Linked DNA regions of Danio rerio. The protein of the gene in region 1 interacts with the protein of each later gene in a pairwise test. Links are inferred from orthologs where the notes say so. Each region holds a gene or a part of one and is shown in the gene's direction. Other genes may lie near its edges.

Region 1 (4,360 bases):
ATGATTCTTTCTGTTTCTTCATGTTTTTCTAGGTGTACTGGATGATGGTGCAGATCACATCTTTGTGTGGAGCATTGGCTGATATCAGCAATCAAAACTGTCACTCGATTATTAAAAGGAGTAGAAAAAATTGTTTTGGAAATGTAAATTGCTATTTACTTCTGACTAACTACTGCAAAAGATAAAAATAACTGACGTAAAAACTGAATTTGTTAATGAATATAGTGGCCAAGAATTAGACTTTGGACAGTATTGTATGTGTATTGCATAAGATGTAACTGCTGCTTTTAACCTTACTCCAATGTTGAGTCACTGTGGCAGTATGAAAGAGAATGGACATTCATTGAGTTGTTATGTGCATAGAAAAAAAATTAAAACACTTCTTTGTAGCCCAAGTGACTATCCCATTACCCACAATGTGCCATTAAAAGACTAGTTCATCAAAAATGAAAATTATAATTACTGTTACTCACCCTCATATCATTCCACTCCCCTGAGACCTTTGTTCATCTTCAGAAAACAAGATAATTATTTCAGGCTATTTTAGATGAAATCTAAGAGCGTCCCTCACCCTACATATACTGTATGTCTATAGACAACAATGGTCAAGTGAAGTTCATAGTCCAGAATATTTAAAAGGTTGTCAAAACATTCCTATACTGACTTCAGGTGTTCAACGGCAGTGTTCAAAAGCTCCATGAACACTTTTGTGTGCCAAAAACTGTAAAAACTATTTTGTTAAAATGCAGTTGAGAAGATAAACAATAAACACCCATACCAAAGAACACTTTGGCCTTATTATATTTTACAGCATTGTGAATAAGAATGATATATTAAGAGTGATACTACATTTATTATTTTAGCACATATTCTAGCAATGACCTATAACTTAATGTAAATTCTGATCGTTTTATAATAAATTTTAAAAACATAGATGCATATTATGCCAATTCATAAAAATAAAATAAACCTTTTGAAATCATGCAGTTGTTCACAATCAGAATATTATGCATGCTTCATTTTAAAACTGATAGAATGTAAATGACAGAAACAGTGAATTGATGAAATGGATATTTTGAATACAACATTTCATATAATTGGGGTTGACATCAAAATAAAAATAAAATACTGAAATAAATAGTTTGCATAAATAATATGGCTAAAAAGAATAATTGTTAACTGTTGTTGTTTATTTTAATTTGACTCTCCAGGCTGCTCAAATTATAAAACAAAGTTCGTTTGGCCTGGACTCACTTCTTGTTTAATGACACTTCTGAATAGCTAAGGATCACAACTTTTTTTTCTTTACGTATTTCTTTGTGTAGTCTAATGTTTCACAGAAAGGTTTAAAATCAATGTAATCTTCTCCGCCCTCTGCTGAGCAGTAAAAGACGCGCGTGCACAGATCTCTCTCTCGCCCTTCTGTTTGTCATGATGCTCGCGCCAACCGCAGGGTTTCGTTCATCAGTCTTTGACTGTTTAACAGTCTTCCTGGCTTTTTGCTGAAACAAAACACACCGCCAGAGTTTGTTTCAAAATCTTTCAAATAGCTTTTTTCCTCAAGTTAAAAAAGTCTAAATATTATTAGAAAGACGTGCGGTTATACCTCATGGCTGAAGCCCGTTGTAGTGATGGAAGTGAAGATTTTTCAAATGTTTCTGTTACGAGGAGAAGAGATTCAACAGGTAGGACAATTGTTGTTGTTGCAATTACTATGGAAAAGTTGAAACGTAGCTTAGGTAGAGTACGGTAACGGATTATTTTTCTGTTGCTTGTAGTTACTGTAATTAAATAACTTGTCCGTTGAAAGTTAAATAAAGAGATAACTTGGATAATTTTATGCAGTTTAACCACAGTGTAATGTACTCAGTTATCCTACTTCAAATAAATTCTGCACTCCTCTGTAAATCAGTTTAGAGAAACTAATTATTGACTAGGCTATTTTTGTTATTCAAATATAGCCTATTTTTCAGAATCATGCCATTTTTCAACTAAGGAATGTTATAATTGTTAAGATAACGGTACATTGTTGACATTAAAGAATCAATGTAAGAAATTATTTACAATGTATTGTATGTTTTGAGATTATTTACTTTTTGAAATTATTTACTTTTTAAGGAACTGACCCAACACTGCCTAAAACAGTAATTAGCCTGCTCTTTTTGACTTTCTGGAGTGCAATTATTATTCATCATTTTTAAATGGTACAAAAAAATAATTGACTTGAACACTTCATTTTTAACAATAAAAAATGTATAAAGTGATTTTTGCAAGTTTTTATCACAAATTTCAGAAACATTATGACAGCAAACTGCATCTCCTATTCTTATTCTATGATAAACAAAAAATACAGACATTTGGGTTCCTGCATGTGTGAAATTAAAAAAAATAACTTAAGTTAAAAACATAACTTAAAATATTTTTAACTGATGCTGCAGACCCATATTTAGTAATAGACAAAGAAAAATACAATCTCCAAGAAATTGATGTTGCTTCCAAGAATAAGTAGAAACCTGTCAAAGAAAGTGGTAAATAATGGCTTGATGCATCAATAATCATTTATAAGTATCTTAAGATTCAGCGGGTTAACAAAAAGTCAATTTTTGATACTTAATGTTTTAATATATTTCGTAAACATTTAACACTTGTAATTGGTTAAAAACCATTATCAAACTGTAAAAAAGTGAATTAGGGTGAAAAGTTCCTCTTGCTCCCTCAGCATTAGTTTCTAGATGTATGGCTGAGTCAGCTGTGAGTGGGAGAAAAAACAGCAGGTTGTAGCTTTCTTCTATTGACACTGAACAGGTGACATGACTCTGAGTGAGGAAACATGAGGCAGCAGTTGTGCTTGTCGCAGCCTGTCTGAAAGTATAGCACCTGTGCAGTGTCATGTGTTTGTCTGGACAGTCAGCATATTAAACATTTTAAACTTTCTCTTATATGTCTGCAGCTTTGTAAAGTGGGCTTAGTTTTAATGCTTGTTCATAGAGGAAAATATCAAATTGGTTTCAGTGGGTATAGATGTGTGCATGTAGGTGTATCCAAAACCCTTTTCACCTACTCATATCCTCATATATTTCACTCATGAAGTCATGAAGAAATGCTCCAGTTTCAACATGTTAGCTGTATAAAATGTGTGAACGGGAAAGTCCCGTGGTCATAAACATGTTCAGACTTATTATACAATATTACATTACTCATTTTCATTTTAGTTCTGGTCCTCAGATTTGGTTGGTGAAGTGTAGTTTCCAGAGTGCTGATAAATGCTCCAGGCAGACTGTCAGTCTTGATGTTAATGATGGGGATTTTTAATTGAACCTATCTCAATGTTGCATTATTAGATAAGTAATAATCAGAGTGAATTTTTGATCAATTCGCACAAAGTAATTAATTGAACAGTGATTCATTTAGATGTAAATTCACTGTCTTAAAAGCATACAAAAATCAACTCCCACTTTACCTAGTAAATGAGTGGCTTTTATTTGCAGAGGTGGCTGCTGTGTCAGTGAAATTTCACATTTAGAGGACTAAAATTTTTGCTTTTGCCTGCTGGCTTCTCTCCAGGTTTTATATAGCAGCATAAAATATTATTTTTATTACATTTATATGTTTAATTTGCACTACCGGTCAAAAGTTTGGGGCCAGTTTTTTTCATGTTTTTAAAAATATATATATATACTGTTCATTAAGGCGGCATTTACTAAATTAAATCAAAGTAAATTAAACGCTTTCTTATTGTATTTAATTTCAAATAAAATTATTACTTCAGTCATTATTGTTTTTATTACAATTACATTAATTAATATTAAGTAAAATGATCAACTACATTTGAACAGTTATTTTACAGTGAAATAACATTTCACAATTTTACACCTTTTCACTGAATTTTTATGAAATAAATGCAGCTTTGGTGAGCAGGAGAAGCTTAATTTAAAACATTTACAAATCCTACTGACCCCAAACCTTTGAACAGTAGTTTATATCAATATTTTAGTTGTTCAAATAAAGAAAATGACATTTAACACATTTGACATATGTGGTTATTGATGAACATAGGTGTACCCAAAACTCTTTTTACCTACTCATATCCTCAAATACTTCACTCATGAAGTCATGAAAAGATGATCCAGTTTCAACATGTTAGCTGAATAAACTGTTCGACCAGGAAAGTCCCGTGTTCATAAACATGTTCAGACTTTACAATATTTCATTACTCAATTTTAGTTCTGGTCCTCTGATTTGGTTGGTTAAGCGTTGTTTCAAGAGTGCTGATAAATGCATTGCTCCAGGCACACTGTCAGTCTTGATGTTAGTGATGGGAATTTTGGAAATTTCAGCTTTGGTGAGCAGGAGAAGCTTA
Region 2 (4,234 bases), on another chromosome or scaffold:
ACACTTGCAATTAATTCACGTGTAGTCATTTAGCAAACTTCCTTACAAATGAGCAAGCAATTAATTAGACCGTTGTTTCATAAATTTAATTTAAAATAGATATCTAAAATATAAAATAAATGCAGATCAATTTAAATGGTTTCAATTTTTAAATCAATTTATTCTCTTAATAAAAGAAAAACCATTTAAATTGATTCATTTGTTTGCCTATTAACAATTATGAATTACCATTTGGAAATCATTTTAAATATTATGTGTGAAATCATATTCATATTGGCATCCAATTTATCTAAATTGTCAAGTTGTAGTTTGCCTCTTCTGAGATTAGACTTCGCAAAGTCAAGGCAGCCAAAACTGCTGGTACTGACGGTAAACCTCTCTGGGTGCTAAAGTCTTTTTAAGAGTTGGCTCCTGTGCTATGCAATATCTTCAACACATGCATACAGTTTAAGTTTTTTTTTTTTTTTTTCTAAGCCAGAGATGCCCTAACTAGTTGGCCCATGGTAACTTTTGATTTAGCCCACCATCCTGTCTGAGAATGGTTTAGAGATTATCATTTCAAATTTAATGCAACCTATTATTTGATTGTTTTATTGTTAAGCTACAAAAAAGCCTATCTGAATTTAAATGTTTAAATTGAAATTATGTAAATTAATCGGATTTAGTTAATGTACATTGTTAATGTAGTACGACTGATGGAGGACAATGCAGAGACTTTGGTGCTCGAATCAAGGCAAATTCTGCTTGACTAGTGTATTCAGCAATGACTCCACTGTGTTAAACAGGTAATTTTATTATTTCAATAAGTTATAATAAAAAAAAGTTATACTGCATTTAGTGCATTAGTCAATACAGTTCAAAGTAATGATTTCGATTTATTTTTTAATATTAAGAAATTAATTCGGAAAATTACCCATGCCAACTTTAATGTAAAAATAGTTTGGTAAAGTATGTTTATCTTGGCCCATCGCTCTCAATGATATTTCGTTTTTGACTCTTCATACGAAAATATTTGGGCACCCCTGTTCTAAACAATGGAAGGAGACTATAGTCAAAGCCATTCCTAAACAAAAGCTAAGCCTAGTTTTCCAGCAGACTATAGCCAGATTCAGATTCAATCATGGTCAATTATTATGTTCCTTAGCTTACTTTTATGTCAGCCAAACTCTTTGGCTTATTGTGAGAAGTTATCTGACAACAGAACAGGGGGCTCCTGTGTGTCTGATTCTTTTTCAGTCCCAGTTTCTGTCCCCTCTGCTTTTTGTCATACTGTATGCATCAACAGTTTGGATCATAGTTTCTAGTGGGATCTTCAATTGGACTTACTTGGAAGGCCTTGGATTCCGTAGTGGGTTGGGGAGAGACTTTTAACTTAATGAATGGAGCTAAGACTGTGGATGTGGTAATAATGGTCAGAAAAGAAGTTTCCCTGAAAAGAACATTCTCTTCCCTCCATTTCCTGGTATCCCAGGACAAGCAATTAGTCGAGTTTCCACCTTTTTAAATTGCTGGATGTGCAAATATCTTCTGACCTATCATGGGATGCCCACGTTAAATACATGGTACGTAACAGAATGTACTATTTTTTTCAAAGCCAAAAAAGCAGGACTTCCTTGTGATGTTCTAATGCAAGTGTACTTGAGTATGCCAGTACAATCTAGGGCTGACTCCTTAAAGGTTTCTCTGAGGAGTTAAAGTAGATCCAAAAGTGATGTTGTTGGATAATGTACTTCCATTTTTCCAACACTGAGTGAAAGTTGTGAAGAAGCCACCATACGTACCCCCACTAAAATACTCAATGACAATTTATCACCACTGCATTATTTCCTGCTGAAGGCTCCAGTGTCACCCTACCATCTTCTGCGACTTAAGACATTTGCTATACCCAGGAGTAAAACTAAAACATCATGAACTCTCCTTTATTCCTTGTGCTCTTAAATTGATGTACAGATATTGTTTAATTCATGATGTCTGATGTTTTTTAATTATTATTTTTACTTTTTTAATCATGTCATATTTTAGTATTTTTATTAGTCAAATTCATTAATTTAGCATGTAGTTAATGTATGTACAATGTGTTGTGCATTTTTTTATTCTTAGAACAAGTATGTTTTACTTTGTAATTTTAAATTAATAATATAAAAAGGCTGCAGTAAATGTATCTTCTAAAAGCGTACTTATGCATTTATTTATATCTTGTTTTATTTCTTAATCTTAAGTTTACATCTGAGTATGTTTTACTTATTGTCTTGCAATTTTTACTGAAAAACTACTTTAAAAAAAAGTCAGTGAATAGCTTAAAATGAAGCAAAACAAGATACACTAAATATTTTGAAAGATTTTTTTAATTGCATTATTTTTGTTTAATTTACATTCTTATTTAAATATATTCATTAATAATTTTACTAACAGCCTAACTGTCATTAACTATGTAAAATTATCACTTGCAATTTTAAATGCTCTTCCAGCAAATCATCCCATTTTCTTTTCTCTCTGTGTTGTAGATCAGGCATCAGGTGGAGCTCTGGTGGTCACGGCTGTTCATCCATTCACCGGCCAGCAGCCTGGAGATCTGAGCTTTAATGCTGGAGACCGAATCACCGTTGTCACCAAAACAGACTCTCAGTATGACTGGTGGGAAGGTGAACTAAAAGGGCAGGTTGGGATCTTCCCTGCTAATTTTGTGTCATATAGTTAAAAGTTCTTAAAGCTAAAATGGATGACAATCTGGTATTGAAGGGTCCTTTTCTTTTGCACAGTTTGAAATGGTGTATATTTATAGTAGCACTTGTGGCAGGTGTTACCAACGGGTGTTACTTTAATGGGTTGTATTATTGGATGAAATTGGGTGCTTTTCTATATTTAATATATTTCCTGATTATAGTTTAATATATTCTTTTGATATTTTTATGTTGGCCGTTCACTCATTTTGGGTTGAGGATCCAGTTTTTTAGATTTCTATTTTTTTATGCCATAAACATAAAGAAATACAATCATGTTTGAACACAGTAATTGCAGTATGACTGAAGCACAATGTTTTTAAGCACCAGGTATTTAAATTATCATGCATAAACGGTATGTTTGCTGTTTGTTTTGCCAGTTTTGTTTCTCTGATAACAAAGCAGGAGTGTTGTTACAGATGACTGTTATGATAACTACTGAAATGCCTTATTTATAGTTTTATGAACTTTTTCCACTTAACATCTGCCTTGATTTAATATTACTTTTTTAATGGTGTTTTTAAGGAGGCTGAATGTTTGATCTTCTAACTAATGTCTTATCTAACTAATGTACTAAAAAAACATGAAAGATTGTTTTGATTAATAAAGCTTATCAAGATTTTAGCTTGCAATAATTTCTCTGTTTGTAAAAGTCGGGGGCTCTTAAAAATGTGTGAGACTTGATTGACTACAATTGCTAACAAATTGTGGTTTAGTAAAATAAGCTACATTACAAAGCAGTGTTTATAACTACCGCAGTAGGCTACAATAAAAATGCTTTAAGAAATGCAATGTTACGACATCCAGAAGCACGTCGGGCTGTTTTGTAGGCTTTTAGGCTGTTTTTGTATAGGTAAAAACTGACGCGATTGAGACAGCCACAAGTGGCCGCACGCTGCATAATATTCCTCATCCAGCTAAATAAAAGGCGGTTTGATTCCCATAGATTGTGAGTTGTAACATTTCTTAACCACAAGGTGTCATAAGAGTTAAGCATATCGTGTTCTGAGTTGGCTAAGTGTCAAATATGGAGCCGTTTCTGTTGTTGTTAAATTCTAAGTAGCCTAAGTTTTTTGAAAGACATTTTTAAGCTGGAGTTGAACAACTAAATGTGAGGTTAAAATTTCATAAGAAAAAAAACCTTGATTTTACCCTTGAGTTACCTGATTTTAAGACTAAGCTAAACTGAACGAATATAAGAAAGAGAATCTGTATACTTTTTTTTTTTTTTTTTATAACATTTGTAGATTCTAAAGAGGCCATTATAACCATATACAGGATGTGAATCGTTCTTTGAAGACCATTTTAATAATTTAAAGACATTTTTACACTGATCTCAAATCGCAGAATAAAATCTCTAATAAAACAGTAAAAATAAAATAAAATAAAATAAAGTGCACATTTAATCAGTGTTAAAGACCCTTAAACATGGCCATTCTTGAAGCACTCTTGTTGCAACTGCAAGGTTTTTAGTACAATGATTTAACCATCTTGCAGTTTATTTCGCTGTTAAG

Evidence for each region. The genes of interacting proteins can lie anywhere in the genome.
Region 2: the proteins of sh3d19 (region 1) and sh3yl1 interact in binary tests that used the Homo sapiens proteins (3 or more experiments, as listed by UniProt). The link is inferred for Danio rerio from reciprocal best matches to the Homo sapiens genes SH3D19 and SH3YL1.

What each region holds. Positions count from the first base shown.
Region 1 is NC_133176.1:26,057,547-26,061,906, reverse strand, and holds the start of sh3d19 (SH3 domain-containing protein 19), read left to right. Parts: upstream 1-1,413; 5' UTR 1,414-1,609; coding exon 1,610-1,685; intron 1,686-4,360. UniProt on the Homo sapiens protein: May play a role in regulating A disintegrin and metalloproteases (ADAMs) in the signaling of EGFR-ligand shedding. May be involved in suppression of Ras-induced cellular transformation and Ras-mediated activation of ELK1.
Region 2 is NC_133192.1:32,057,887-32,062,120, reverse strand, and holds the end of sh3yl1 (SH3 domain-containing YSC84-like protein 1), read left to right. Parts: intron 1-1,471; coding exon of another isoform or gene 1,472-1,562; intron 1,563-2,504; coding exon 2,505-2,698; 3' UTR 2,699-3,665; downstream 3,666-4,234.